Daphnia pulex: one gene and its partner. The protein of the gene in region 1 interacts with the protein of each later gene in a biochemical or structural test. Links are inferred from orthologs where the notes say so. Each region holds a gene or a part of one and is shown on either strand. Other genes may lie near its edges. The genes, in order: tyrosine-protein phosphatase Lar-like and tyrosine-protein kinase ABL1-like.

What was found.
Region 2: of the proteins of tyrosine-protein phosphatase Lar-like (region 1) and tyrosine-protein kinase ABL1-like, one has a biochemical effect on the other in vitro, tested with the Drosophila melanogaster proteins (2 studies listed by BioGRID, with this or other methods). The link is inferred for Daphnia pulex from reciprocal best matches to the Drosophila melanogaster genes Lar and Abl.

The regions. Positions count from the first base shown.
Region 1 is NC_060021.1:5,822,926-5,828,939, forward strand, and holds the end of tyrosine-protein phosphatase Lar-like, read left to right. Parts: coding exon 1-2,108; intron 2,109-2,194; coding exon 2,195-2,269; 3' UTR 2,270-3,848; downstream 3,849-6,014. Other genes in the region: lethal(3)malignant brain tumor-like protein 3, read right to left, coding at 4,028-4,168, 4,272-4,682. UniProt on the Drosophila melanogaster protein: Possible cell adhesion receptor. It possesses an intrinsic protein tyrosine phosphatase activity (PTPase). It controls motor axon guidance. In the developing eye, has a role in normal axonal targeting of the R7 photoreceptor, where it negatively regulates bdl.
Region 2 is NC_060021.1:8,608,066-8,614,735, forward strand, and holds part of tyrosine-protein kinase ABL1-like, read right to left. Parts: exon of another isoform or gene 5,791-6,670; coding exon of another isoform or gene 5,709-5,790; intron 4,875-5,708; coding exon 4,623-4,874; intron 4,514-4,622; coding exon 4,215-4,513; intron 4,119-4,214; coding exon 3,917-4,118; intron 3,722-3,916; coding exon 3,388-3,721; intron 3,273-3,387; coding exon 3,101-3,272; intron 3,007-3,100; coding exon 2,894-3,006; intron 2,784-2,893; coding exon 2,641-2,783; intron 2,550-2,640; coding exon 2,312-2,549; intron 1,917-2,311; coding exon 1,857-1,916; intron 1,512-1,856; coding exon 1,417-1,511; intron 1,349-1,416; coding exon 1,075-1,348; intron 1,002-1,074; coding exon 1-1,001. UniProt on the Drosophila melanogaster protein: Arm and Abl proteins function cooperatively at adherens junctions in both the CNS and epidermis; critical for embryonic epithelial morphogenesis regulating cell shape changes and cell migration.

The DNA of each region.
Region 1 (6,014 bases):
CCCACAAGCACCTCTACACGTCGAGTCCGTTCTCCGACTACCTGGCGCTGGACATGCGCGAAGCGCCCGCCGGCGAACTGCCGCAGCGGCCCAACCCCAACGTGGGCAACGTGGACTCGTCGTACGTGCCCGTCCCGTCCGAGACGGAGGAAGCCGGCCTCCTGTGGATCGCCCTGGCCACTTCGGCCGTCGTCTTCGTCATCCTGCTGGTCATCGTGGCCGTCGTCTGCTCGCGCAAGAAGCGCCGCTCTCCCAAATCGTCTGACCACTCGTCCGTCACCAAGCCGCTGATGGGCGGCGTCGGTCTGGCCGACGCCTCCCTGTCGGCCGGCGGGGCCGGAGCCGCCGGAGCCTCAACGGCCGTCAACGACCCGGTGGAACTGCGTCGGCTCAACTTCCAGACGCCGGGCATGGCCTCCCACCCGCCCATCATCATCCACGACATTTCGCTGCACATCGACGCGCTGAAGATGAACGACAATCTCAAGTTCTCGCAGGAGTACGAGTCGATCGAGACGGGCCAGCAGTTCACGTGGGAGCACTCGAACGCCGAGATCAACAAGCCCAAGAACCGCTACGCCAACGTCATCGCCTACGACCACTCGCGCATCATTTTGGAGCAGGTGCCGGGCGTGCCCGGCAGCGACTACATCAACGGCAACTTTTGCGACGGCTACCGCAAGAGGGACGCGTACATCGCGACCCAGGGGCCGCTGCCCGAGTCGTTCGCCGACTTTTGGCGCATGTGCTGGGAGCAGAAGACGTCGACCATCGTCATGATGACGCGGCTGGAGGAGCGGGCCCGCATCAAGTGCGACCAGTACTGGCCCAGCCGCGGCTCGGACACATACGGCGTCGTCAGCGTCATGATCACGGACGTCCAGGAGCTGGCCACCTACTGCGTCCGCACCTTCCAGCTCCACCGGCTGGGCACCAGCGAACACCGCGAGATCAAGCAGCTCCAGTTCACGGCCTGGCCGGATCACGGCGTGCCCGACCACCCGGCCCCTTTCCTCCAGTTCCTCAAGCGAGTCAGGGCCCTTAATTCGGCCGAGGCCGGCCCCATGATCGTCCACTGCAGCGCCGGCGTCGGCCGGACGGGCGCCTTCATCGTCATCGACTCGATGCTGGAGCGTCTGCGCTACGAGAACACGATCGACGTCTACGGCCACGTGACGGTCCTCCGTGCCCAGCGCAACTACATGGTCCAGACGGAGGACCAGTACATCTTCATCCACGACGCCCTGCTGGAGGCGGTCACGTGCGGCGACACGGAGATCCCGGCCCGCTCGCTCCACGCCCACCTGCAGAGTCTGATGCAGCCGTGCGTGCGCGGCGACTCTGGCACCCTGTCCAGCATGACGGGCATGCAGCAGGAGTTCAAGAAGCTGGCCGGCATCCGGACGCATCCGGGCCGCTTTGTCAGCGCCAGCCTGCCCGTCAACAAGCCCAAGAACCGGCTGGTCAACGTGTTGCCCTACGAGTCGACGCGGGTGATCCTGCAGCCGATGCGCGGAGTGGAGGGCAGCGACTACATCAACGCCAGCTTCGTCGACGGCTACCGCTACCGCAACGCCTACGTGGCCACCCAGGGGCCGCTGGCCGAGACGACCGAGGACTTTTGGCGCATGTTGTGGGAGCACAACTCGACCATCGTCGTCATGCTGACCAAACTGCAGGAGATGGGCCAGGAGAAGTGCCACCAGTACTGGCCGTCGGACCGATCCATCCGCTACCAGTACGTCGTGGTGGAGCCCGTCACCGAGTACAACATGCCGCAGTACATCCTGCGCGAGTTCAAGATGACGGACGCCAGGGACGGACAGTCGAGGACGGTGCGCCAGTTCCAGTTCACCGACTGGCCGGAGGAGGGCGTGCCCAAGTCGGGCGAGGGCTTCATCGAATTCCTGGGCCAGGTCCACAAGACCAAGGAGCAGTTTGGCCAGGAGGGACCCATCACGGTCCACTGCAGCGCCGGCGTCGGCCGCACCGGCGTCTTCATCACGCTCAGCATCGACTTGGAGCGGATGCAGTACGAAGGCGTCGTCGACGTCTTCCAGACGGTCCGCATCTTGCGCACCCAGAGGCCGGCCATGGTCCAGACGGAGGTAAAAACACACCGTCCATTGGTTTTATTTTAAATCTCTTTGATTTGGTTAAGTTTTAAACTCCTTTTGCTATTTGATACAATCAGGATCAGTACCAGTTCTGCTACCGGTCGGCGCTGGAATATCTGGGCTCGTTCGACCACTACGCCGGATGCGACTGACGTCAGGGGACACAGTGCGAGGCGGCCGGTGGCTCGTCGACACCGTCACCGCCTTGGTCGCAGGCCGAATCCCGACTTGCTGTCCCTCCGTGGCACGCCTTCACCACACCGCCACTCTCCTCGCACTGTGCCCTTCGATGATAGGATGATAGGACGAATAAGACAAACGTTTATGAGAGACGGATGGATGGATGGATGGAGTCCGTCTCGTCTCTTTGTCACAAAATAAGACACTCGAACAATCCTTGCAATGCCCCCACTACTCCTACCCCCACTCGTATTCCTCCTCCGCGACCTCCTTTTTTCTATGTCACTTTGCGTCTGATGTTTGGGTTCTAGTTGAAATCCATTACCGTGTGCCGTGTGGTTCCATCCGTCGCCATCACAAAGAAAGTCAAAAGAAAAACAAAAAAAAAGAAGAGAAGAAAAGTTGCGGCCCGAAATTTTTAATTTAAAAACTGGAAACTAAAAAAAAAAAAAAGAAAAAAGAAGCGAAAACAAAAGGCACAAAAAGTCAAAATGCGCGTCAATTTTTTGGGGGGCCGGGTGACTTGAAATTAAGGAAAGAAAATAAAACTTTTTTGAAATTCAGAAACCAACTCGCAACGCAAAAAAAAAAACCAAGAAAAGATTATTAAAATTGTGTAATGGCGCCAATAATGTACAGATCCGGGTGTGGAGACGAGACGAGATTTTTTTTTCTTGTTTGTTTTTAAAAAAGGAAAAAAGACAAAAATTCCCGCAAATACCGATTATTTTCAGTGTTCCGCTTTTTATTACCATACCGTACCGAATTTGTGCGCTTTTTTACGGAGCCCCACGTCAGTTATTATCGAAGGCAGCTCACACCACACCAACATTCTGCATTCTGCCATATCATTCCCGTCACGAGAAGACAAATAACTAAAACAAAAAAAATGGCACGCTGTAATTTTGGGATTTTATTTTTAACTTTGTAATTTATTTATTTCGTTGTTTTGTGCGATAATTGTTTTTTTTTTTAAGAAAACAAAACACGGAAACCGGAAAGGCCTTCCTCGGGGCGATTTCAACTTTGTACTTAAGTTTTCTTTTTTTTTTTAAAAACCGTCGAGTTTCATTTGTGTTTCTGAACGATTACAACCGATTTCCGTTGGCTCATGTCTCTCAGCCTCATACTGTCAGCGCGTTCGATCCCCCACTCATTAATGATTGTATTATTATTCTCTTCATCGTCGTGGCCAATCCTCCCAACCGTTTCATTATTATTTCCGTGTTCCTTCCCCCGTTTCATTTTGAGTTGCGCGTTTTCGTGTCGTTGGTTTTCTGGTTTTCTTTTGGGCGCAGACGAATATTTCTGATTTTTTCGAGAAAATGTTGGTTTGTGTGTGTGTGTGTGTGTGCAATTGCCGCGCGCGCGCGAGTGTGATGTGCGTATGTCTGTGTGTAAGTGTTTCTCATCATGCGTGTATGTAGCCGCTTCGCTGGAATTCGAACTGAAACTGAACTATTGTGGGCAGCTTATTTCGTTTTTCCCTTTATTGTAAATGTGTGACGATTATTACAACAAGAAAGGAATAACGAAAAGATGATTATGCAATTCCACGTCTGCTTGTTTTGAACTTGATCGGCGTCGAGATTTCATTGCATTTTGGGGGATTTTTGTCTTCTTCTTCTTCCGGCTTTCTTGTTCCAAGTTTCAAAAATGTTGGTGAGGAGAGGAGAAAGGTGGAAGGGAAATGTTGCAAACTTAGCGACGGTTTTTCTTCTACAATTGGCTTAAGCGTAAATCAGATCGTCGCGACGTGTCTGCAGACGGCGAATGTGGTTGTAGATCTTGACGGCCGGGCCCAGCTTCAATCCCATGTTGCCGACGACGTCGTTTCTCTTCATCAGCAACAGGGACGGACCGTCGATTTCCTGCCAATTGGAAAAAAAGGAAAAAAAAGGAAAAACAAAAAGGTGAGAAAATAAGAAACACACAGCTGCTGGGAACCATTTGTCGTTTTCTCGTGTCAATTACATTGTGGCGCAACAGAGCGGCCTGCTCTTCGAATCCCAGCCGGCTGAAGTAACTTTGAACGTCTTCCGAAGTCCAGAGCGAAGCGTCGGGAATACTCGGGTCGGGATTGGGGACGCAATTCCACTCGAACGGAGGGCCCTTGAGTTCCAGTTGGCGCGTGCCAAACACCCACGGACCGAGACTAATTGGCGCCAAGGGCTGAAACGACGATGACGACGAGATCTTGCTGCTGTTGTTCTCAACTTTGCCTTCTTCCGACGAGCTGTCCTTGACCGGAGTCTTCTCCACCGACTCGTTGGCTCGGCAGTCGTCGCAAGCCCAGTAACATCCGTCGGGCATAGACGCCGGTGGTGAAGCCAGGCACGAGCGGTGGAACGTCGTGTCGCACTCGCAGCATAGCAGAACCGTGTCCTATAGTGACAAGAGACGAAAAGAAACGATGAAAACACATACATAGAGGGGGGGGGATGATGTGACATTCGATATGACGATCGTGTTCGTTCATGTTCGTCATGAATTAAGGAACATTCGTGCAAAACAATCACTTTCAATACGCTAAAAGTAATCGTTTTTAAGTCATCAATTACAGGTGTTTTTATCACTACTATAAATATAGTTCAAATTAGGCTCCAAACAAGATTTATTGTGATATAGGCGAGTCTGTTTACGGCTTATGCTGGCTTCTTGTGGCCTGGTAGTGGGGGACCAAGGGGGACTGTATTTCAAAGGTGTTATCGTCGATTCTAATAATTCCAGTCAATCGAACTTACGATGTGAAATTTGAAGAAGGAATCACTTATATACAGTCACGCTTGTTAATTTCTTGAGCAGGCAAATTGCTCTATGTGTTTTTATTTCAAGTTGACGGAAGGTATACTGAGAATCAAACTACTCCCCCATTTTTAAATCCCTTTTTCACCTTTTAAGGAAAATAATGAGAGAAAGAAAAGGTGAAAAAGGGATTAAAAAATGGGGGAATAGTTAGATTTTAAGTATACCTTCCGTCAATTTGAAATAAAAACACATAGAGCAATTTGCCTGCTCAAGAAATTAACAAGCGTGACTATATTAAAAATTACAAAAAACGTTTTACGAATCATTTTGTCATCTCTGCACTTAGTTATTTATATCGGAGAGGGAAAAAGGCTCGGAAAAAGGCATCCGTCAAATGGAGGTAACGATGTAATGATGTTATTTTTATAAAATGGGTAGCAGGGAGGGAAGAAGAAAAGGTCTCATTTTTGGTTCTCCTTTTTGGCAAGACCATATGTGGTTATCCTCTGAATATTTTTTTTTAAATGTACATTTTGACCATTTTATCACAAAATGTCTCGTCCCCAACCACCTCGACCTCGGCACAGACCGAAAATTTATGAAAAACGGCTGAAAATACACGACGTCTGGTCTCTCACAAATTGATCAACTATAAGAAATTAACAAGCGATCCACGATTCAAGTAGACCGAAATCCCGGAGTGGCTTTCCAGATCTAAATCCGGAAAAGGCCTTAAAAATATAAAAAAATATAGGCATGTTTGTCTTCGCACGCCGGATTTACCTGCGTTTGCAGAATGACAAAATTCCTACCCGTTTAGGAGTTATTTAGCTCTAAAGTTTGGGTTTTTTAAAATTTTGTCAGAAAGTGGGGGGGCTTTAACATCCATTTTGGGAAAAGCGGGGGAGCTAGGGAAAAAACTAATTTTTTAAAAAGGTTTATTGCATACTCAACCATTGAAATCCAAAA
Region 2 (6,670 bases), about 2.8 Mb from region 1:
TCGGCGTCGACGGTTTGGTCTTTTGGTTGAGAGCCGCAGGAACCAAGCTCGGCGCCGGCTCTGGAGGCGGATCGGACCCATGTTGGTTGTCTTCCCACGGGCTGGGCGAGCGAAGGATGCCGAAAATCGATTGACTCATGATTCCGCCACCACCACCGCCCGTTTCTTCCATCGAGTGGAAAGGGGTGCCGCCGCTTTTCCTCTCCAGCAGTTCGGAAGAAGAAAGGGAATCGGCGCTCTTGCTGGTGACGAGACCGCCGGAGTGGGCGCTCCCCGTGGTCGTGTTGGGAGAGTCATTGACGGACTCGCGGTTGACTCGGTTGGAATCAATATTCCTTTTGAGCGAATTCTCCTCGATGCTGACTTCCTCGCCGAGAAAGAATTGATCTTCCAGTGACTGCCGGGCACCGCCCACCCGGTCGACTGAACTGGCGCGCATTTGGACAGACGACGTTTTAATCTGACCCCGGGGCGAAGGAATAGGACGAGTGGGCGGGGTGTGGTCCCGTGGCTTGGGACCGTCGATCGAGTCGTGAGAAGCTGCAGACGAATTATCATCCAAGGCGGAAGCCGCGTCGTCTTCCAACGGTGGAGGAGGTGGAGGGAACTCCAAGTCGGCCAAGTTGGGAGCCGGAGAATTTTCCCGCGGATTCCGCGTCTGGGGGTTGCTGCTGGATCGAAGGCCGCTGTTGCGGAGTTTAGGGCTAGGCGTTCGAGGTCCCTCACCAGACACTGAGTGACTCCTAACCGTAGGAGGAGTTTTGGTCGGATTGGAAGAGGAGCCGCCAGCATTCTTGACCCCCGGTCGGAGCCGAGGATCTTCCGTTCGGTTGTGGTTGACCGCTTGGCGCAACAGAGAAACGTGACCAGATTTAGGCGAATCTTCCTCCTTGTTTCCCTGTTCCAGGTCGACACCTTCCGGTGGCTCGCCCGTCATACCACTCTGACGAAGAGATTCCAAATAAGCGCCTATCCTCGCTCCTTTCGGCAGAGTGCCATACCTTCGTAGAAGAAAAAACACATCAGATAACCGCTAATAATCATTAGAAAACGTGTAATTAAATAATAACCGACCTGTTGATGGCTTTCTTGACGTTATGGACTTCGAGTGTGGCCACTTGGACCTTGCTCCTTTGCGGCGGTTTGGGTTTCAAGTCGGAGACGGGACTCGTCTCTTTGGGTGGGTACGTCCGCGTCTTTCGGTTGGAGCTGCTGGTCCCGCGCGGCTGCTCAGACATTTGCCGCAGAAATTTGCCACCAGACTGCGCCGTGAGAACGGCCTCGCCCTCGCTGCCATCGCCGTCCGACTCGTCGCCGTGGTTCAAACTTTGCAGATCCCTATTGATGCCTATCGATCCACAACCCAAAGGTAAACAACGGACGACTTATTTATAGCCCCGGGAAAAAGTCTATTACCTTCGAAGACATGTTCGATGCCGTTGGAATCGCTTCCGTCGTCGCCAGGTCCGCCAAAGTCTTGATCCGTATAAGAGCTGTCACGGAATGAGCTACTAAAAGGGAGAAGGGATAAAACCAATTAAAACGAAAGAATAAAAAGGCAAGTTGCAGACGACTCTGTTCATCATGTATCAAAAAGGGTGTGTCATGCTTGCACTGTACATTCTGAATGTGTGTGTGCAAAGGTTAGAAAACAGGAAGAAAACCATGGCGAGAAGCGGCCGATTATTAAATGGCTACACGTTCTAGCAACACGTTAGTAGAAAAATTGACCAAAACAACTCTGAGAAAAAGATGAAAGAGTAACATCATAATTATGTGTTGTGTGGTAGTGGTGTTGGTGGTGTTTGTTTGTACGGCGTGTTTGCGTGTCAAAGATTAATTTGGTTAATAGTTACCTGGGAGGTGCGGTACCCAGGTGCCCTAATTTGTCCGACACCTTACTGGGCTTGCCTCCTCTATGAACGGTCAAGGCAAGTGACGAGCGGGTAAGGAAAAAAAGAACACAAATATTATGAATAAAAATCCAAATAAAACACACACGTATGAGTCAAACAAGGGCGTGAACAAATGGTTGGATCAAAAAAATTAAAACCCAAAAAAAGAAAATTAAAAAATAACAAACGCAACAGCAGCGTGAAAACTCTTTTTTTAGCCAGGCAAACAACGCAGAGAGCAAAGTGGAATCGAAATGAGAATGCGTGCGTCGCGCCAAGCCACAAGAAAATCTTTTTTTTGCTTTTGTAAATTATTTCTTCAATCTCATTTATAATTCATTGCAGTCTGGTGACGGTTCTCGTTTACATTCTTCACACATTAAATCGAGCCAAAAGAAAAATAGAGACGGTTGTACCTGGTTCGTTTAGGAGGGGCCGGGACGGGCTTTCCCTTCGTGTTGGTGGCCCGTCTCATTTGCACCGGGGCGGTATTGGAACGACTAGTCATCACGGCACCACTACCAGCACCTGATGGTCGATTATGATTCTGATTTTGAGCTTGTCCCTGATTGGCGGCCTTTTTGGAGGCCAGGCGTGGACTCGAGGAACTGACGCCGACGCTGCTGCTGCTACCCTGCAACTGCCGCTCGACTTCTAATTAGTCGAACCAATTTAATTGGGAACAACCCACCAGTCAGAAAATTATTCCAATCGATTTGATAAGCTGGTAAGTAGAATGGCGAACCTTCGTTAATGCTCGACTCTTGAAACATATTTTCCAGGCCGTGGTGGATCTCTTGGAAAGTCGGCCGGTCATTGGCACTCCAATGCCAACATTGCTGCATGAGATCGTAGACCCGGGGCGGGCATCCTGGAGGGCATTCCATCCTTTAGTATAGGAAACCCCATCGTCAGGGAGAGAGAGAGAGATAAAAGAAAAATCGAGTTCAGCTGTTGAAATGAAAACGTAAGAAAAAAAAGTAGACACAATAACTCACCGGTAACCTGTTTCCAGGGTATGGTAGACATCAGTTAAATCGATACCGGGGTAAGGGGACATCCCGTAGGTGGCAATTTCCCACAAAAGGATCCCAAAAGCCCAGACGTCCGACTAGAGAAAGAAAGAAGAAAAAAGAAACATTTTCACACAAACGATTAATGACGAGGAAAAACGGGAGCCGCAGGAAAGAGGAGGAAAGTGTCACCTTGGTGGAGAATTTATTGTACGCCAAGCCTTCGGGTGCGGTCCATTTGATGGGAAATTTAGCGCCGGCGTGAGCCGTGTAGGTGTCGTCACGCATTAAACGCGCCAATCCGAAATCGGCCACTTTGACTAAGTGGTTCTCGCCGACAAGGCAATTACGGGCGGCAAGATCCCTTCAGATGATAAGCAAAACGTTTTCGGGTTAATGAAACACATCGCGGCAGCAGTTAAGAGACCCCCGCGCGATCCAGTCTATCAAATTTCCCCGGGACCCTAGCTAATTCTCACCTGTGAATGAAATTCCTGCTCTCCAGGTAGGACATGGCGGCCGCTACTTGGGTTGCCATGTAAAGGAGAACAATGGCGTCGATCTCTTCACGGTTGGCCCTTCGTAAATAGTCGAGCAAGTTGCCTCGCGACATGAATTCGGTGACAATGTAGAATGGAGGCTCGCGCGTGCACACGCCTAGCAACTGAACCAGATTCGGATGCTTCATTTCCTTCATTATGGCCGCCTCTTCTAGAAAGTCTTTAAGCGCCATTGTGTCCTCCTTGAGCGTCTTGACGGCCACAGTCATGTTGTATCTCTTCCACATTGCCTCGTACACGTCGCCGTACTGGCCTACAATTAAATAGAAAAGGACCAAAAGTTTAGGGGGGTTTCGAAATCGTCCAGGAAGGGAAAGCCGCGGTTCATCATCATCATCATCTCCCGCGCTTCAATTAGTTCACGTCGTAATCGACACGATGACAACCGCAAACACCCAGCGAGCAGTAAGAGAAAGCGGACACCACCTAGGCCGAAATGAATTAATACCTCCTCCAAGCTTCTGCTTCATGGCGATGTCCGTACGCTCAATTTCCCACTCATCCGGCTCGGGACTAAGAGCAAACACTTGAGGTTTGTGACGTTTGGGGGCCGGATACAACAATTGCGTGATGAGGCCGTCGGCATTGGCCGAATGGTGATGGACGAGCTCGGCCAGGGTCCGGAATCGACTCTCAGAAGTGACGTAAACCTTTTTAAAAAAATAAAAAAAAAGTAGTAAAGTAAACATTCAAACAAGTTTAGAGGGGGAGGTTTGCAATTCAATAGGATTGGATTTATTTATTACCCGCCCTTCCGAGTCTTCGCTGATCCGATAGTGATACACCCGACCCTCATAACGGAGTGAGATGGATCGTTGTCCGGGACTGCTTTCCGATTCCCGAACCAAAAAGCTGCCATTGATGCCCGAACTGAGCAAGTATTCAGCTGCATTGCGGGAGATTGGTCCGTGATACCAAGAGTGTTTCTCTAGGGAATTGACAGCAGTCACATAGTTGGACGGGACCCAGCCGACCCTGCCCGAACCCGAATGAGCTTCGCACCATTCTCCACTTTTATTATAGCTCAGAATTTTCACTTGTTCGCCTACAGAATGATCATAATAATAATAAAAAAGAGATTTAAAAAATAAGGGGAAAAGAAAAAAATAACGTTTGAATGTCTGGTTGATATGAAAAAATTTTTAAAGCGGCACCTTTTTTCAAGCTGAGCTGGTTATCGCCGGAAGCTTGAAAGTCATAAAGAGCGACAAAGAGTTGCGGGTCTTCATCGTCGGGTTCGGTATGGAGCAGATTATCTCTCGACGTCCATCGGTGCGCCGATTCAAGGCTAAAGGTGGTACCGCAGTGGCCGCCTCCTAGTCCCGACGATCCGCCACCGTCCATGTCCAACGTGCCCGTCGCCAAGTCGGGCAGCGTTGGCAGTGGCCGGTTCTGCAACAATGCCTCTGTGTGACACACAATCGAGAAGGAAACAAAACAAAAAAAAAGAATAAAATACAATAAAAAGATAAAATAAATGAAAACACGAGAAACAAAAACAAAGGGAGAAATCAGAACGAAACATGCAAGATGTCTGACCCTCATATGGAAACTATTCAAACCGCTAGGCCAATGGCACGCAATGCCACAGTGTATGTAACGGTAATAAACAAGACAGGGCCGGTTTTTAATTCGCCCCTGTTCCAACAAGCTGCTGGCCTCATCTGTTGTGTGTCGTGTTCTTTTCTTTTTTTCTTTTCTTCCATATAATCCCCCCAGATACCGTCGTTAACGAAGGATTTGCATTAGAAATTGCTAGTTTTCAAAATAAGACATTGAAAAATCTTCACGTTTTGACCTCAGTTAACCGGTCGGACGTCACGGCACAACAGCTGTTCGGTAAGTATCTGTTTGTTCCACAACGGCTACCATTACAAGTTTCCCTAAAGTTGCCAACTACGCAAACTGTTGTTGTAGTCTCCGCATTTTTCACGATTAAATTGGCACTCCCCGACACGACTAGATCGTTTCTCTCGTTTCAAAAAACCAACAACAAAAAGTAGCGGACATGATTACACCAAAGTAGACGGGTTCATTGAGAGTAAATAAGTCAAATCTTCCGTGGCGGATAGGATCCGTTTCCAGAAATTCGACCCGCAGCATTTGGTCAGTACAAACAGGATCGAAAGGAATAAGTCAGGCGGAACATCAATAATAAGGTACAGCAGCCGATCAATAATGGCTGACTCTTGACTTTTTTTTTTTTTTTTACTTTTGCTTGTAACTTGTGAGGTTCTTACCAAGTCGAGGCTTGGCACCGGGAGGATAAAGGATCTGAAGGAGCCGCATGACCGAGGGCGGCAAGAGGGCGGGATTCGACATGGCGCAAACCGACCAAATCAGCAGCAGCGTCTTCTTTGACTCTTCTTCTTCTTCTTCTCTTTTTTGGCAATTTTTTGGGTTGGTTTTCACGAAAAAGGAACTTTGACCGAAACCAGATAACTACTTCTTCTTCTAGGCTGCACACTACAGTTCACTACACCTCACGCATAGAGCGAAAAAGGAGAGGGCGAGAAAGGACTGGATAATGTCCGTCCAGTGACGAGTAACTGGAGAGACTGAATTTCCCCTCATCTCCTTTTGCGGCTCGTGATTAGAACGAATCGTCGGTTGGACGAGGCACCACCGGTTATTTCTTTTTCCTCTTTTCTCTTTAATTCTTTTCTTTTTTGCGGTGGCCCCTTTCAGGTCCCTCCCACAGTCGACTCCTGAAACGCAGCACGACATCTGGCCGTCATTTTTCAGCGTTCCGGTCGCTGCTGGTCGAGAGAGAGACACACATACGAGCAACGCGTAGTGGTCCAGGGCACCCTGCATGCGATTTATCAAAATCGTCGTCGTTGTTGTTGTGGTTGTGTAGTAAGTGCACGGAAAAATCCCATTTTCTCAGCAATTGAAGAGAAATGTAATTTTTCTGACAGACAACAACAAGTCAAAGGAAATAAAACTTTCAAAACATGAATGAATGAATAAGAAACTGACGAGATTGCATCTGCCAATGGACACGGTTCTGGCGTCCAAGGCAATCTCACATGGCAGCTGGGAAAAATGATGAGGAAGCCAAGAAAAGAGCATCGCAGACCGAAATGCCAGATTTTTTTTTGTTTTGTTTTTTAGGACAACGTCCAGACGGTTTGTTAAAGAGCCTCGTCGTATCCGAAAGCTGCAATAATGCCATTCCGACAACACAACACAGACACAC